Canis lupus familiaris: one gene and its partners. The protein of the gene in region 2 interacts with the protein of the main gene of each other region in a pairwise test. Links are inferred from orthologs where the notes say so. Each region holds a gene or a part of one and is shown on either strand. Other genes may lie near its edges.

Evidence for each region. The genes of interacting proteins can lie anywhere in the genome.
Region 1: the proteins of TSEN54 (region 2) and CLP1 interact in binary tests that used the Homo sapiens proteins (3 or more experiments, as listed by UniProt). The link is inferred for Canis lupus familiaris from reciprocal best matches to the Homo sapiens genes TSEN54 and CLP1.
Region 3: the proteins of TSEN54 (region 2) and TSEN2 interact in a two-hybrid assay, tested with the Homo sapiens proteins (2 studies listed by BioGRID and IntAct). The two-hybrid records come from large-scale screens. The link is inferred for Canis lupus familiaris from reciprocal best matches to the Homo sapiens genes TSEN54 and TSEN2.

The regions. Positions count from the first base shown.
Region 1 is NC_049239.1:38,996,467-39,002,921, forward strand, and holds CLP1 (polyribonucleotide 5'-hydroxyl-kinase Clp1), read right to left. Parts: upstream 4,121-6,455; 5' UTR 3,794-4,120; exon of another isoform or gene 3,745-3,793; intron 3,049-3,744; 5' UTR 3,027-3,048; coding exon 2,421-3,026; intron 2,029-2,420; coding exon 1,357-2,028; 3' UTR 902-1,356; downstream 1-901. UniProt on the Homo sapiens protein: Polynucleotide kinase that can phosphorylate the 5'-hydroxyl groups of double-stranded RNA (dsRNA), single-stranded RNA (ssRNA), double-stranded DNA (dsDNA) and double-stranded DNA:RNA hybrids. dsRNA is phosphorylated more efficiently than dsDNA, and the RNA component of a DNA:RNA hybrid is phosphorylated more efficiently than the DNA component.
Region 2 is NC_049230.1:5,888,254-5,892,975, forward strand, and holds the end of TSEN54 (tRNA-splicing endonuclease subunit Sen54), read right to left. Parts: coding exon 4,018-4,722; intron 3,374-4,017; coding exon 3,313-3,373; intron 2,956-3,312; coding exon 2,839-2,955; intron 2,324-2,838; coding exon 2,173-2,323; 3' UTR 1,815-2,172; downstream 1-1,814.
Region 3 is NC_049241.1:6,160,529-6,166,955, forward strand, and holds the start of TSEN2 (tRNA-splicing endonuclease subunit Sen2), read right to left. Parts: upstream 4,121-6,427; 5' UTR 4,012-4,120; intron 3,035-4,011; exon of another isoform or gene 2,889-3,034; intron 2,831-2,888; exon of another isoform or gene 2,685-2,830; intron 1-2,684.

The sequences.
Region 1 (6,455 bases), on a different chromosome or scaffold from region 2:
AGACACCACCCCTCTCCCATCCTTTGCCACTGCTCTAAGATTATAAGAGCCCTACATTATCTGGTCCCTATTGCCCCCTCCAGCCTCAATTTTTACCATTCACCCCTCAGTACACCACACCACCCTTTCCCTTCATCAAATACATCAATATTTTTCCTTTTTTAGGATTTTGAACTGTTTCCCCCACCAAGACGTTGTCCCAATTTCACACAGCCATTCAAATCTTAATGTGAAATGTGCTCAGGGGAGGCCTTTCCTGACCACCCGTTCTAATTAACCCTCCCAGTCACTCTGTCTCAGACCACGCAATTTTAACTTTACATAGCACTTACCTTTTTTGTCTGCTTATTCTATGTAAGCTCTGTAAGATTTTGTCTATCTTGTTCCCCATCTAGAATGGTTCCTGGCCAATAGCATATGCTCAATAAACACTTGTGGAAAGAATGAATCAAAGGGTATCAGATAATACTCAATAATCCAGTCTAAACTAGGAACACAAATCATTTGCAAGAAATCAAAGAGAATGGGGCTTTCTTTCCCAGCTTCTTACCACCCGAAAATTCAATTTACACCTTGACCTGGGGCCCAGTTCCAATCAGAAGGACAATAGGAAAGACAGCTGCAGCGGAGAGCAAATGAGCTATGTATGGAAAATAATTAGACCAGAAATCTCAATCCAAGTTTATCACCAGCCTCTGTAGCTCCTCAAAGTAAACCTGGCATTAACAGATTTAGCATCTATTTACCTACAAGGAAAGGAAAACCATTATAAAAATTCACCTGCTTGGCTCAAAGGTGGGCCCTTGGCTTTCTTTGAAGCATTTAGCAATAACTCACTTCAATAATGTTTCCATCATGCTTAGGGAGAAAAACAAAATTAAAAAAAAATTATACCAACTTCTGTGGTATGGCAAAAATATTTATTAAAATTTCCCAAGTTTGAACTTTACTAGAAAGAGGCCTTCTGATTCAATCTTTCATCTTGGATAAATGGAATAACAAGTACTATGTACAGAATATAAAGCAGTGATAATTTTTTAAAAAGTTCCTCCTAAAAATTAGTCCACCAAGTAGCATAGTGGAAAAAATACGATTCTCCAGGGCCTCGGAGAATACAAAGCGGCACCTTTGGTGATCCAAGAAACCAATTATGTTCTCCTGGTTCTTTTTGGTTCAAGATCAGAAGAGTTAGGCTCCCACCACCCATCTTAAGAGGTAGAAATATGCTTTCTACTAGTTCACTATTTACTCGTCTGTTTGGCCTCAACAGAGTCTCATACTTTAGCCCAACTTTTTTGCCTTTCATGATGGCCAGAAGATCTCGATGCCCCAGGCAGCAAGGCTTCATACCAGTCTCTACTTAAGATCCATGAACCGGATATCCATGATGAGAAGGAAGTTCTTAGGCAGTGGGCGGGGGGCTGGAGAGAGAACAGTAAACACCTGATGTTCCAGGTCCACACTGGTCACCACGATGAAGCCAGCCACACTGGTCTCAGAAAGGTTCTCCTCTGTGCCCTCAGCAGTGCTAACACTCAGAAGGTGGTGCACCATATCTCGTCCAGGTGTGACTGGTACTAGCTTGAGCTGATTGTCCTCCTGAGACATACCCAAAGGCAAACAGGAGTCTGGGATGGTGGGTGCCCCAACTTTGTAGATTTTCACATCTGAAAATTTGACATTGAAGGCATGGGGATAGAAACAGCCCCGGAATCCATAGAAATACTCACGGATACGCTCATCCCTACACTCCCGCCGGAAGTCTTTGGAGCGTTCAACCACACCCCCTGATTTAGGGAGCAGCACAGTTCGGACGAAGTGAGGCAGGTCCCGTTTTAGTTCATTGTACAGTCGTTCTTGATCCAGAACCACAACCACGTCTACCTCAAAGGCTGAGGCTGCATGCACCAGGGCCTGATACCCAGAACCCTTGACCCAGCCACAGGTGTTAATGACACAGCCACTCACAGAGGCCCTTCGGTTCACTTCACACCTTTGATTGAACACATCCGCTAAACGAGATGTAATCTGCAGAAGAGAGCATCAAGGTGAGGAAAGGAAACACAAAACGAAAGAACTCAATAGTTATGTAGAATAAGTGGCTATTAGGTACCAGAAAACAATGACATTCTTAATGGCTAAGGTTTTAACCCCATAACACAGATTTCGATTTTATGTTGCTTCTTCTGTTTCGTGTCCTAAGTAGAAATTTAGTACATTACTTAAGAACAGGGCCACAGGAATATTTAAGAACCTGAGATTGACATAATTGAAACTGTCTTCCAAAGTCATGTGACAGAAATCCCAGCTGAAAGGGAGCAAAGAAATGGCCATAGACAGTTTTAATTAGCACACTTTTGCACAGCTTCCTACCCTGACAGCAGCCCTTCCCTCCATCCCACCTTGACTCTGGCTCTGACCTTATTATAAAGCTTGATGTTGGTGCCAGGAGTGGTGGAGCCAAAATGATACACCAGAGGGGCCTGGATAGAGAATCCCTCTTCGACATCTGCTGGCCGCTCAATGTAGAGGGCCCCCATGGTACCAGGGATGGAAACAGACCCCTGGCCCACATCCAGCTCCACATAAGTGGGACGGCGGCCCAAACGCACTGCATAGTTGAGCAGCAGACGGCACACTGTGGACTTGCCCACATCAGTGGGGCCCACGACCATCACCCGGGGACCTCGCTCTTCTTCCTTCTCCGCCTGCCTCCTCATCTGCTCCAAGGCTGTGTGAGTGTTGAGATAAAGCAACATAGGAGTGTCCTTGGAGACATAAGCCACCTCGGTGCGGCCACTCAGCTGTAAAGAACAACCATGCCAAGTGAAAACAGCCACCTTGGCACCAGCATCAAAGGTGAATTTCTTGTTTCGGGTCAGCTCTGTGCCAAATATTTCTGCCATGCCAGCCAGCAGCTCCAACTGAACTGACTGAGATGCCTCCACCTCAAAGCGAAGTTCTGTTTCTCGCTCTAGTTCAAATTTAGTTGTTGGCTTCTTGTCGTCATTGGCTTCCTCTCCCATCTTTTCTGTGTGGTTGCTGTGCCTAGAACACAAATTAATTACCAGACTGAAACAGGAGTTAGGACACTACTCAAAATCCTCCCCTGGATATTTCTCCTTACCCTCATTCTTCCCCTTAGCTGTGATCACCCCGTCTCACTATACATTTGCCTGTCTACCCCCACTGGAATGTAAGGGTTAGGCAGTCTGGTTTGCTGCTGTTACTTCCAGTATCTAAGGCTCGACAACCCATAGGCACCTCATAAAAACACCGACTGAATAAATGTATACTTTTCATACATTAGAAAAGTATATCTACACATTGACCTAAGACTTGATTATATCACTTCCATCGCTCCTTTCGTCACTCTATTGGGATACTCGACTTGAAAAGGAGACAAATACCCTCCCAGCTCTCTTAGTCCACAAGAAAGGGCGTCTGCAAACTGAATGCAAAGCAGAGAACCCTGGGTTCGGACTTAGGAAATAGCCTGGGGTGAGGCACCTAGCTGGCTGGCTCAGGGGTTGAGCATCTGCCTTCCGCTCAGGTCGTGATCCCGAAGTCCAGGGATCGAGGCCCACATCTGCTCCCTGCAGGGAGCCTGCTTCTCCCTCCGCCTGCGTCTCTGCCTCTCTCTGTGTGCCTCTCATGAATAAATAAATAAAATCTTAAAAAAAGAAAAGAAAATAGCCTAAGAACCCGCTCAGCATCTGCTACTACTGTCGTTAGACAAATCACCTGATCTCCCCAAGTGTTGTGGGGATCGGTGAAGGGGAAGAAGAATTACTTCGTCAACTAGAAAACGCCGAGGAACCGAGGAGTGGTGAACAACGATTTCCGACTGCGAACCGCAAGTGTAAGTCCAGCATCTGTCCCAGCACCCCGAGACGCCGAAACGTGCCCTGGTCCCAAAGCGCCGGCCGTTCTCTCACCTGCACAGCCGCAAACACAAACCGGCAAACCGAGGAGCCCCCGACAGCGCCTAAACCCAACGGCACGCCGCGCCCGCCCGGATCCACGCCGGAAACAAAGGCGGTTCTGCGCAGGCGCGACGCAGGAACAGTGGGAACAGTGGCCGCGCGATGCCTATCGGGATCGGTAGTTTTGCCGGAACTGCCTCCAGCGGCGGAGCTCGCGCAGCCGCGCGGCCTTCTGGGAGTTGTAGTTACAAGATTGTTTTGATCGTGACGCCATAGGTGGGCGGGGCGGCGGCGTCCTTGTTTGCGAAGACGGCGAGCCGCGGGTAGGATGCGGTGACGCCCCGCGCGAGGCGGGGACCCGCGGAGGAGCCAATGGTTGCCGGGGCGCGGCTGGAGGGGACTCTCGCCCCCGAGGTTCCAGCTCACCTGCAGCCCGGGAGAGACGGCGGGGGGAGGGGGAGGCGGGCCGGCTCGCCGTCTGGGTCCCACGACCGTCGGCTTGCCTGGTCCACAAGCCAGGAGGTCGCGGAATTAGCGGAATCCCTCGGAACCCCTCGTGGGACCCGGGGACGTCTGGGCTAAGGCAGGTGGAGGAGGCCGGCCTGGGTGTCGTCCCCTCCCTGACAGCGCTTGGCACCGAGACGGCGTTGCAATTTATTTTTTCTTAATATTTTATTTATTTATTCATGAGAGACACAGGGAGAGAGAGAGAGAGGCAGAGACGCAGGCAGAGGGAGAAGCAGGCTCCATGCAGGGAGCCCGACGCGGGACTCGACCCCCGGTCCCCAGGATCACGCCCCGGGCTGAAGGCGGGCGCTCAACCGCGGAGCCACCCAGGCGTCCCTACAATTTGTTTTAATAAAACACTTAAACGTCCAAGAATTCCTTCCAGTCATTACCCAACAACGTCTCTCCTCCGGATCGGGGATTTCTTTGGGGGGCTCGGTTTCCCTCCCTGAATTCCCAACAGTTGTACAAGGCCGCCCACCTACCCCGCAGGCAGCAGTTGGGGCCGCATCCATCAGCCTCGCGAGCTTGGGCTTTGGAATCTGTGCTCTGCTCGGCCACTTTCTCGCTGTGTGGCTTTGGGCAAATCAGGCTAACTCTCTGAGACCCAGTTTCTTGTCTGTAAAACAGGGATAATAACAGTACCCAACCTCTTAAAGTCGTTTTAAAGATTGCATGGATGACTCATGTAAAGTCCTAAGCACAGTGTAACACAGTGTAACACAGCATCTGACGTTAGCTTTTGAGTTTTTATTATAGGTTGAGGAGGGGGAGCTCTTATAATGCCATCCACATGCACAGCAGTTTCAATTTTTTATTTTTTTTAATATTTTATTTGTTTATTCATGAGAGACACAGAGAGAAAGGCAGAGACACAGGCAGAGAGAGAAGCAGGCTCCATGCAGGGAGCCCGACGTGGGACTCGATCCCGGGTCTCCTGGATCACGCCCTGGGCTGCAAGCGGCACTAAACCGCTGAGCCATCTGGGCTGCCCAGTCTGAATTTTTTAAAGCCCTTTCCAGTATTTTCTTTCTCAGCCAACGTGTAAAGTCAGTGGTATGATCTCCCAATTTCAAAGGAGGACAGAGACAGGGGAAGGGATTTGCCCATGTTAGGACTCAAACTCAGGATTTGGGAGTCCGAGTCCAGTTATCATGATAGCAAACAGGTAGTGTTAGATGCCAGGTACTGTTCAATGAGCTTTGCAGGTGTAAATTCATGTAATCCTCTCAGGAACCCTATGAAACACATACTATAATTGTCACCCCCTCTTTATAGATGAGTACTTTCTTCAGTCCGGCTCTCATGGTTACTCGGGATCAAGAAGCCTGGGACAATTTTCTGGGTTGGCTCTTTCACACCCACTCTTACCTTCACACTCATTCTGTCAGCAGGCAGTGCCATCCTCACTTTCTACGGCTTAGTCCTTGATGGTTTACTTTAATTCATTCGTTCACCACACATGCGTTAGTTCTCCTGTGAACTCTCAGGTATCCCGTAACCATTCACCATCCTTCAAAAATTCAGTTCCAGGCTTCTGTTTGCAAATTCCCTCCCTGAATGAGCTCAGCCTCTCCTCTTTCCCAGCAGTCTATTTCCCAGATCTCTTTCTTCGCCTCCACACTCTCTCCCTTGAGGCAATTTCTCCCAATTATCTGAAGGTCATCTTTATTTGGCTTATTTGTGCAGCCATCTCAAGCTGAATTTAGGGAAAAGAAACCTCTCCCCGCCTTTAGACTATCTCCCATTTCACTTATTTTTAAATAAAGTAATGTCTACCTTCAATATGGGACTCTGACTCACAGCGCGGAGATCAGGAGTCCCATACTTCACCTAGTGAGCCAGTCAAGGCGTCCCTCCAACTCACTTCTTTATTTTTTTTAATTTTTATTTATTTATGATAGTCACATCACACAGAGAGAGAGAGAGAGGCAGAGACACAGGCAGAGGGAGAAGCAGGCTCCATGCACCGGGAGCCTGACATGGGATTCGATCCCGGGTCTTCAGGATCACGCCCTGGGC
Region 2 (4,722 bases):
CCCTTAAAGGTGTCCAAGGCCGCCACAGGCGGAGAAAGGCCCAGAGACCGAAGTCCCTCCCGCGGGCTTCCTGCGTCCGGGGATTAGGAGGCACAAAGGGCCGGCAGGGAGCGGGCCCAGATGGCAGGGGCAGGCTCTAAGCCGGCGAGGTAACGCGCTGCGGCCGCCGCTCGCGGAGAGCCGGCTACCTGAGCCGCGCGTCGCCAGCCACTCGGGCCAGGCGCCCTGCACGTGGGCCCAAGGTCCCGGGATCCCACCCCCGCCCGCGGTGACCTCCTGCACTCAGCCAGGCCGGGCACTTGTTTCCCCGTTTCCCCAAACCAACAGTACTAGGCAAACCTGGAGCTCGAATTCCGTAAACGCGGACGGATCAGGCAGGGAAAAGTTCCCAGCCGCACTTCCTACAGGTGTCTTTCGCCGGGACGAACGGAGCCCCGGGATCCAGGGCGACGCGCGCGCCGACCCGGGCACAGCCCTCCCCGCCCCGCCCGGGGAAAGCAGGGGTCCCGGCCCTCTCCCGCCTTCCCGCCCCGAGCGGAGGGCGCTCCGAGGGGGCGGACCCGGCTCGGTGTTTCCGGGCCCGCGCCTCACCTGGAGCCCCAGGCCGGCCCCCGCCCGAGGCCTCGGCGTTCCACGGCCCCCGCCGCCGGCTCCGCTCACTCCGCAGCCGGGCCACGGGCTGCTGGGCGGCAGACTCCTTCCTGCTCACCTCCGGCGCGGCGAGCAGGGGGCGGAGCCGCCGCTATTTACATAAAGGGCGAGCCGGACGGGCTCGCCGAGCCCCGGGCCCCAGCGGCCCCGCCCCCGGGCCTGGCCCCGCCTCCCGCAGCTCGGAGCCGACGGGGCGGGCGCGCAGCGAGGGCGCCCTCGGGGGGCGGGCGGCGGCCGCTCTCGGGCCAATCCGCGGTCCCGGGGAGCGCGGGGGCGGGGCCGCGCCGCCTGAATATGCACGAGGCGCTTAGGGCCCGCCCCTGTCTCACCTGAGCACACCTGGACTCAGGACGGCGCGCCGCGCCCAATGTCCTGCCGCGTCCGGGAGGAAATAGTCCCTGGGACGCGCGGCAGCCTGGCCCGCCTCCCAGGCCGGACCGCGGAGGGGAGCCGTCCCTCCCCCCGCCGGCCCCGAGCGGCCGAGGGAGGGACGTAGCCGGGCCTGCTCTTCCCGAAGACGCACAACCCAATCAGAGCGGGTGACCGGCGGCCACTGGGCCCGGTTTCGGGACCCCACGGCGAGGTGGCTTGGGGACGGGGGCGTTGCCGCCAGGCGCCTCCCCTCGGGGCGGGCCCCGAGCCCGGACCCCAGTCCGCCGAGTTGCTGCGGAGTCAAGAAGGCGCCCGAGGCCCCAAAGGACAACGGTGACCAGTTTTTAGCACAACTGCGGAGCGAGGTGGAGCGACGAGAGGCGGGAGCGGAGGAGGCGCGGAGGCCAGGGGTGCGAATGGCGCGCTCCGAAGCCGCTAGCGTTCAAGCCACACCGACATGGCGCCTCTCCGCCGCCCTTCTACCCCGAAGCGGGGAAGTTCAGGGAAGGCCCGATGGAGCGCCAGCCTCCTCCCCGTGGACGACCATTGAGAAAGCCAAGCTGATTAGGTCTGTGATTTCCTGTCCCCTGGGCGCAGGGCCTGAGGAAAGTGCGGGGTCGCGTTCTTGCCCTCGCGGGGACCTAGCTCCCGCACCAGAGAAAGCACGGTCTGCGGGTTGGCAAAGGAGGGGTGAGGGCCTGGAGCCTGCTCCACGGACATCGGGACTTGAGGGGTGGTGGCCTGAGGCTCGGGCAGGGCCGGGGAGTTTTGCACCATCTCCAGCCACAGCATTAGAGCGATCTATTTTTTAATGGCTTTGGCTTTATCGCACGAAGCAGGCACCCTCTCGATTAAAGGCACAGAGTCCTCTCTTCTGCCCCACCCCGCTGGGTCTCTGAAATCTAGTCCTGAGTTCCAAAGTATCACTGCAAGACAGCAATCTCAGGCCTGGGACTATGGAAGCCAGGTGGGGGGAGGGGAGGGGCATGGCTTCGTTCTCCTGCAAGCATCAGACACTCAGGGCCAAGGCCCAGACTAGCCCCTGAAGCTACAGGTGAGTCTGGGTATAGGAGGCAGCTGAGATGGTCCCTGAGAATAGACAGTCCAGGTCCCCCCGAGCAGGTCCCATGCCCTGCCAGAGCGGTGTCATTAGTGTTCCAGATCTCTGGGCAGCGTGAAGTCCCTGAAGCTGTAGAAGGAGATGTCTCCATGATCCACCAGGGCAAAGATCAGAGGAACATCCCCACTCTGGTAGGACAGCCGCTTGAGGGTACAGAGGTCTGGAACTGGCTCATCAAATCTGCAGGGATAAAGTTAGACAGAGAGGTAGGCACAGGCCGCCCATAAGCTCTGAGACCCCAGCCCTCTCAGGCTACCAGGGAGGGGGGAATTAGACAAGAGTTGGGAGTGCAAGAACCCAAATGGCCTCTGGACTCTCCTGTCTGCAAACTGCATGGTTCTAGTAAGTTCTCCAAGAGTGACCAGAGCCTTGGTTGAGTACCAGGGCTAGGAAGAGTGAGGTTCTTACCACTCATAGCCTGTGAATCCCTCTGATTCCCAACCCTTCTGCTGGGTGAGCCCTGCAGTAAATTGGCACAGGAGAGAGACTGCGCAAGATGCCAGAAATGAGGGCTTAGGACTTGGTATGCTCTGGTTCCTATAGTACTGACTGGCTGTGTGGCCTGCATCAATGACAGCTCTCTGGACCTCTGGTTCCTCTCAGATTGGCAAACTGGCTAGGGGTGGGGAGGAGAGGTCCACTTGGTTTACAAAAGAACTGGCAGCAGCCTGGGGGTAGGGTCACTGGTCTCGTACCCACTAATGCACATCCGGGCGTAGGGTTTGCCGGGGTTATTCTTTCGGAATGTGGCCACAGCATCGGCCTGATAAATGTCAAAGCTGATCTCCAAGCCCCCAGACTTCTCCAGCAGCCTGTGGACAGAGGAAGAAACTTTAAGAAACAGGGATCTTTCTCCTCCTCTCCCTTTTCTTTCATGCCCCGCTCTTTCCCTCCCACAGTTCCAGGAAGCAGCCTCATCCACAGGGATGGAGGTCCTGCTGTGAGGTGCCACTTGGGCAGGGGGAGGTTTGGCTGCCTACCTCAGAATCCTCAGGCTTAGTCCACCTCTTGCCTCTCATCCCTCCCTCTCCCCTAGACACATGAGACTCAGCCAGGCTGAGGGCCCTGGAATGATCCCCCAGCTCATGCCCAACTTCAGGAGTCAAGTCCCAGCTGCCAACTGCTGGCAGCCAAGGTACTATGGAGACAGGCACTACCTGGAAACTCACCGGGCACCTCCATCAGCAAGGTGTGTGGTCTGCAGCACAGAGATATGCTGAAGGGCTATGGCTGCAAGGACAGTGAAAATAAGGTGTTGGGGAGGGAAGTCAACCATCTGCAGACTCCTCTGATGTTTCTGAACCTGCCATCTAGTTTAGGGTTGCCAGACTTAGCAGATTAAAAAAAAAGTTATAGGTACGTCCCATGCAATATTTGGAGTATACTTATGGTGACATCTCCCGTGTTCTCATAAGGATTATAAAGAATCCTGAATCTGTTAATACCAATCTTGCCCTATTAGTTCCATTCTTAAACACACAGGGCATACAGTAAGCCTTCCTTTGATTTGGCCAGGAGATGACCTCTTGCTCCCCTCTCACAGAGCTGCGAGAACAGGGGACCACAGCTAGTCGGTGGCAGAGCTATCCACATGTATCTTGTTTATTATTTTAAGGATGTAGTTGTAGTTTCGTTCCCCCTCGCCTCTCCCTGGACACTGACTTGCCATTTCCACGCCTTCCCACATGGGTCCTTTTGCTGCTTTCCAGGAGAACAGACTGTCCTTATGGGTTCCACTCCCCTGGATAGCTCTCTCTGCCCCATCTTTCTTAAGCCTCAATTGGTTATGGCCAATCCATGCCCCTTTCAAAGTCTTTTGATTCCTCAGCTGCCAGGAGCCTGTGGGGCTTTGGCTGGGTGAGGGGGGCGGGTACCTGGGGAGTCTGCCTGGCCAGGACTCAGCAAGGGTCTGACAGGTTGTTCCCACAGGTGTGGGGGGCGGCTCTGGCTCTTCTGCAGACACCTCCTCTGCAGCAGCTGCTTGTACTCCTGCCAGTTGGAGCAGCACTGCACCTCGGGATCTGAATTTACATCCTCCCGGAAGCGCTGGGCCTCTGCTTGTTGCTCCCGTTCCCGCCTGGAGAGCTTCTCCTTCCTTTGGTTCAGCTTCTGGCACCAGGATTCAGCATCTGTCTCCCGCCCAGCGACATTGGCTGGGAGCAGCTCTGGGGCTGGGGCAAGCAGAAGGGTGTGGCGGCTATCTGAAGCCATGTTGGGGAAGGAGATCTGTTCAAAGTTCCAGCGTGGCTTACAAAACCCCTTGACCCTGTTCTCTACTTTGCCACTCTCCGGGCTGCACCCCACCCCCTCGTTAGCCAGGCCAGGCCAGGGCTCCAGGGCTCCCAGAAGCTGAGATGGGCCCATTGGGCCCTTTACAGGGCTTGACTCCTGAGGTTTCTCCTCTGGGCATCGGCTGTTCTGGTTGCAGGGAGGTGGGCTGGAGGCTGTCAGGCTCTCAGGTGTCTCATCCACCCCCTGTGGGGGATTCTCCAGGGCCTTGGCCTTCTTATTAATAGACCTGAGGGACGTGAGGAGGAAATGCAGCACGTCTGCTCTTGATTGCTGAGGTGCACATGTCC
Region 3 (6,427 bases), on a different chromosome or scaffold from region 2:
GATCCAGAAAATGAAGTAAGACTGCTTATTAAAATGCCTCCTGCACTTAATACCAGCATCTATTGGGCAATGGATGTCACCAAGCCTGAAACAGCCAGTGACAATGGCCAAATCCTGAGGAAGGTAAGTGGTTGTATGGGTTTATGACCATTAAAAAGAAATAAAATATCTTGCCTTGCCCATTGTGTGATACCTTTATCTGCCCTCTCAAAGAAACGGAGGAATTAGATGAGGACAAAGGAAAACACAGACCAAGGAAGAGTTATAGAAATTGATAAATCAAGTACAAAGATAACTATGAAAAAGAAGAATCAGCAAGTTGGAACCTTCATAGACTTGACTAAGTATGCTAAGCAGCAAAACACTAGAATTTAATTTTTAAGTAAGATCCCTCAAGGGAATTACATACTGAGCATGACTCATATATACATTATATATACACACACACACTGCTGTAAAGCATTCCTAACAAAACCACGTATGTTGCACATTAACGAACAATTAAGAGATTTTCTTCCAAGAGCATTTTAGCTAAACTGTCATTTGCCAACTTATCCTTCAATCTAAGCCAATGATTGCATTTAGTATTCAACAGAAGAAACAGCAATTTATTCTAACACTTGATGCCGTGTCAGCTTTTTTGAGGCAGATGATGCAATCTAGTGAAAAACTTTCTAGGCATTTCCAGGAACAAGTTGGACTTTTATGAGATTTTTCACTTTTATAACTTAACTTCTGGTTAGGATTTAACTTGTATATGCTACATTTGGAATTTTAAGAAAAGAGAAAATGTTAAATGGCTAACTTCAAGAACTTCCAATTAAATTATCTCAAACAAGTGACAATGAAGTTATATTTTAATTTGCCTAGTTTGGAATTTTCCCTCAGACTGATGCTATACTCTTAAAAATACCAAGAATGAGCTAGGACACTTGATGTCAAGAACTTTGTACTTCAACCTGTATGTGTGTGACAGAAAGGTTCCTGCCACAAAACATTGTTTTCCATTAAACCTCAAAGTCTGTGATCTGGTGTTACTTTTGCCCATGTGGCAGAACAGGCTTCAAGAATTTGGCTGATAGGTGGGGCAAGATGGCGGAAGAGTAGGGTCCCCAAGTCACCTGTCCCCACCAAATTACCAAGAATTTGGCTGATAGGCCTCCAATATATGCAAACCTGCCATCATTATCATGTGACCTTGCACAACCCACTTAAGCTCTCTGAGCCCTGTTTCTTCATCTTCAAATTGAACAGCACTGGAAAAGTCTGGAAGTCATTCAGATGTTAAATGCAAAATACCCATATAATTCCAGTCCTTGGTACAGATACAAGAAAACTGAAAACATGTTCATGCAAAAATCTGTACCTGAATGTTTACAGTAGTATGATTTATAATAGTTAAAAAAAGCAGTAACAAACCAAATGTCCATCAACAGATGAATGGATTAAAAAAATTGTGATGTATCCATATAGAATGGATTATCAGCAACAAAGGAAGTGTTGATATATGCTACAGTGTGTATGAAGCTTGAAAGCATTAAGTGAAAGCAGTCACAAAAGACCACATATTGTATAAGACCGTTAATATGAAAAGTCCACAACAGCAAATCCATAGAGACACAAAGTAGATTAGTGACTGCCAGCTGCTGAATGAAGGGAGAAATGCGGAGTGACTGCTAATAGGTATGGATTTTTTTTTTTTTTTGAGGGTGATGAAAATGTTTTAAAACCAGAGTGCAGTGATGATGTGATGGCTGACCAACTCTGTGAATATACTAACATTACTGAATTGTACATTTTACAAGGGTGAGCTTTTTTTAGATTGATTTCATTCATTCATTCATTCATTCATTCATTCATTCATTCATTCATGAGAGACACAGAGAGAGAGAAAAGCAGGGACATAAGCAGAGGGAGAAGCAGGCTCCATGCAGGAAGCCTGATGTGGGACTTGATCCCAGGACACTGGGATCATGCCCTGAGCCAAAGGCAGACTCTCAACCACTGAGCCACCCAGGGGTCCCCTACAAGGGTGAGTTTTATGTATGTGTAACGGTCTCTCAATAAAGCTGTTATTTTAAAAATTCAGTAGGACAAACCAAACGATCTTGTTTCATGGTTTTGTGAAGGAGTTGTCTTGTACTAGACTTGAAAGGCAAAGAGGGGAGAAAGGAATGAATTCACTATTCTCCATATCTGCAGTAGGCATTTACGACACGTTTCTTTAGTGCCATGATAGGAGAACAGCATAATGTCAAGGTATGGCATGAGTAAATTGAGAAGAGGTAATCATCATCCATGGGTACAACATGCTAGGCACTGACTGTGCTATATGGTACACAGATGGGTACTGGCATCCTCTTTCACAAACAAGGAAGAGAGGGCCAGTTATTTGCCCAAAGCTCCACTGTACAGAGACACAGCATTGCAAGAAGTCTGGCCTAAAAGACCACCCATGTCTGAAGCACACACACAGATGTGTAGGTATGACTGAGCCAGTTGTCAAGGGGTTTGGAACATGAAAGCTGGTTTAGACTTGGAGTTGATGCAGAGACTCTCAAGCAGGGAACACGACTGAAATAAGATTAATTAACCTGGGGTGGTATACAACAGTGGCTCTCAAGCTTGGCTGCCCTTAGAATCACCTGGGGGAAATCTCAAAACTCCTAACGCTCAGAACTTACCTGCAATTACATCAGAAATTCTGGGGTGGGACCCAGGTGATCTTAACATGTAGTCACACAGCTGCCAACTACTGGTGACAGAATAGCCGATTCAAACTCACTCCCAACAGCTCCCTAGGGGCCGAGTGCTATGCACCTGTAAAGGATGTAGCTTTTCCTTTCCCAAACGCTGGGGGCGGGGGCGGGGGCCGGCGGCATACTTGCCTCCAAATACAAGTAGCATTAGGTCCATTTACTTTACTATGAAAAATAGGGCTTGGGCAGCCGGGTGGCTCAGCGGTTTAGCGCCGCCTTCAGCCCAGGGCGTGATCCTGGAGACCCGGGATCGAGTCCCACGTCGGGCTTCCTGCGTGGAACCTGCTTCTCCCTCTGCCTGTGTCTCTCTCTCTCTCTGTGCCTCTCATGAATAAATACAATCTTAAAAAAGAAAAAAAAAAAGGGCTTATGTTTCCCTTGAACACACAAGCTAACACCGTTCAGGTGCTCAGCAAACGTTTATTCCAAGCAAAACAAAAACGGGAGAGGGAACTCCATTTAATTTTCCGACCCCCTGGAAGGACCTTGCCAAACAAACCTGGTTAACACCTCCTACTCAGTAAAGCTCACCTTCTCCCAATTAAAAAATGTTTGAAGCTCCAACCGTGTACCTCCTGGGCTATGGGAGGCAAGGATGAAAGGGACAAGGCGAACAATCCAGCCCCTGGGGAGTTTTCAAGTTAGGACGTGAGACTAAGCCACATAAACAAAACCTAAACCCCTTGAAGGCTGTTGTGAGGATGAAGGGGGTAACTGCGAAGGCGCCTCGTACCGGGCCTGCCGTGTGCAAGGTGTTGGCCAGACGGGGGCTGCGACCGCCACGCATGACCGCACGCAAGCCAGAGTGTGCAGGGCCCACCCAAGTGCCGACTCCCCGTCTTAATTCACCCCTCTGCAGACTTCCTCGAGGGCCCCCCGCCCCCCAGCAACCGCACCAGCGGCTGAGGCTCCCCTGGGGCAGAGAGGGTGTCCGATACACCTGGACGTCCCCGGCCCCCAGTACTGGACGTGGCCACGTCCAGTTCCTCAGAAAGAATGAAAAGCAGCACAAAGGGCTACAGGTGCTCGCAGAAGAGGGGGTTGATTCGGGCGCGACCAGGAAGCCTGGCTCCCCGCCCGGCCCACTCTGGGGCGGCTGTGCCACGCGGGGGAAGGCTACACGCCTTTCTCGCTTCCGGGGGGGGGGTTCCGAGAAGGCGACGACTCTTCTCGCAGCAGAACCCCCACCTCGAGCCGCCGCCACGGCGCTCAGCGCCTCGGGACGCCGCGGGCAGCCCAGCCCGCGCCTTACCTTTCTCGGCCCCACGCGCTTGTCGTTACTTCGGCAACGCCGGCCGGAGGGCGGAGACCGCTGCCGTCAAGCAGTGCGGCCGCAAAGCCGGGCCGAATGCGCAGCCGCGGAGCCCGCGGGAGCGCCCGCCGGGTGTTTGCGGAGAGCGCCTGCGCAGGCCCTGGAGGCGCGTTTTCTGTTCCTCCATTTCACCCTTCTCCGCGTGTAAGCGAGTTCGCTTTCCTGTCCTCCCCTGGAATAGACAGATGCTGCTTTCGTTTAATCCCCACAGCGGCCTCGCAAGATTCGTTTAACATGTGACATCCTCAGTTATTGTCCGATGTCAGCTAGTTGGGAGGTGGTGGAAATGGGACTAGCCCAGGCACGGAGACCCCCGCGGTGGGGGTGGGGCGGGATGGGACCCGGAGGGCACCGGATCTCACTGAAGAGAGCGGGCGTGTGCGCGGCCCTGACGGCGCCCTCGGCTTTCGCGGTGTGGATGCCTCGGCCGCCCCGCGCCCGGAACCTGCCCGCCAGCGCCCCCTCGCAGACGCCTGAGTAAAAGCCACTGTGCGCCCTGGCTGCCCCGCGGGGGTGAAGGACGACCGCCGGGAGTCAGGCTGCGTTGAAGTCCCCAGCCCCTGTCCCTGCCCTTTTTGAGCTTTGGTTTCCTCTGTGGAGAAGTGGGTCCTTAGAACTACGCCGGATGCGCAAAATAAAAGGGTGTGGGAAAGCGTTACAAGTTAATCCTGACCTGGTTATTCTAAAGGAGGTCTACTAGGGGGTTCGATGTATACTTTTCCCATTATGAGTCCCAGGGTCCCCAGCACACATACCACACGTGCTGGGCAGGTGGGGAAGGTGGGTGACAGGGAAGGGTGGCAAATAGTGCCAGAGAGATTCATGGGGCTTGATGGGATGGCTTTGAAATCTTTGAAATCCGAGCCTTTTTCAAATTTCTCTGGTCTCCAGGACTTCAGGCACACTTGCCTTGGCCCGGGCCATCCTCCTCTCCTTGGTTTGCAGCAGTAATTCCTGCCCCCCCCTCGCCCCTGGGCCTCAGCTCATATAGCTCTTCCTTCAAGAGACTTCCTCTTGCCTCCCTAGGCAGTCTTGGGTGGCTTTCCTCTGTTTCTGCAATAGTTGGGTGTACCCTGTGTTGTCCCCTGTTTCCTGGTCCCTTCTTTTTTTTTTTTTTTAAGATTTTATTTATTTATTCATAAGAGAGAGAGAGAGAGAGGCAGAGACACAGGCAGAGGGAGAAGCAGGCTCCATGCAGGGACTCGATCCCAGGACCCCGGGGTCACAACCAGGTCTCCAGGATCAGGCCCAGGGCCGAAGGCGGTAGTACACCGCTGAGCCACCCCGGCTGCCCTCCTGGTCCCTTCTTAACCTGAGGGCTTCAGTGGATGGTCTACCTGCACAGGCCTTAACTGCTGGGCTTAGAGTTCAGACTTTGATTTAGATAAATCAAAATGAGTATATTTCCCTGGTTAGAGTGTTGCAAAAAAAAAAAAAATTTCAGCAAGGTTCACAGACTAGTGGCATCAGGATGAATGGGGCAGGGAAGAGAGAGCTGGCAGGAGGCTGCAATATTGTAGCAGAACATGCCAATTTAGGAAATACTGGTTTTAGAATGAGAGGGTTTTAACAATGAAGGGGAACCCAGAGGCTGTCCAATTCAATTTCCTTATTTAACTGATAAGAAAAAAGGTTCAGAGGCACTGTGGGTTACCAGAAGTAGCAGAGCAAGTCTGAGGTGAGGCAGAGACTACAGCCAGGGCTCCCAAACCGCTCAGCTTGGTTCTCTACTTTCAAGGGTTTGGGATTCCCCCATAATGAGATCTCAGGTGGTATCTTTGGGAGCCCTATCCCCACAGAGGGTCCAGAGTGAAAACTACCAAGTAAGATATTCTTCCCCCAAGATTTTATCCTCAATCTGTTTTTTAAACCTCCTGTCACCATCATTTTCAAACACAAAAGTAGAATATTCTAATAAATTACCACTTCCACAGTCTTTAACCTTTGCTATCTTATTTCTTTTATACTCTCCATATGTATACCTTTATCCCACTGCTGGAATATTTTAAAGTAATCCTAGGGATCCCTGGGTGGCGCAGCGGTTTAGCGCCTGCCTTTGGCCCGGGGCGCGATCCTGGAGATCCAGGATCCGGTCCCACGTCGGGCTCCGGGTGCATGGAGCCTGCTTCTCCCTCTGCCTATGTCTCTGCCCCTCTCTCTCTCTCTCTCTCTCTCTCTCTCTCTCTGTGACTATCATAAATAAAAATTAAAAAAAAAAATAAAGCAATCCTAAACATCATTTGATTTCACTCATATTTCAGTGTGTATCTCTAATAGATAAATATTTAAATTTTATAGTGAAAATGTTATTTAAATTTTACAGTGCTATAGTGAAACCCTGAACACCATACTACTG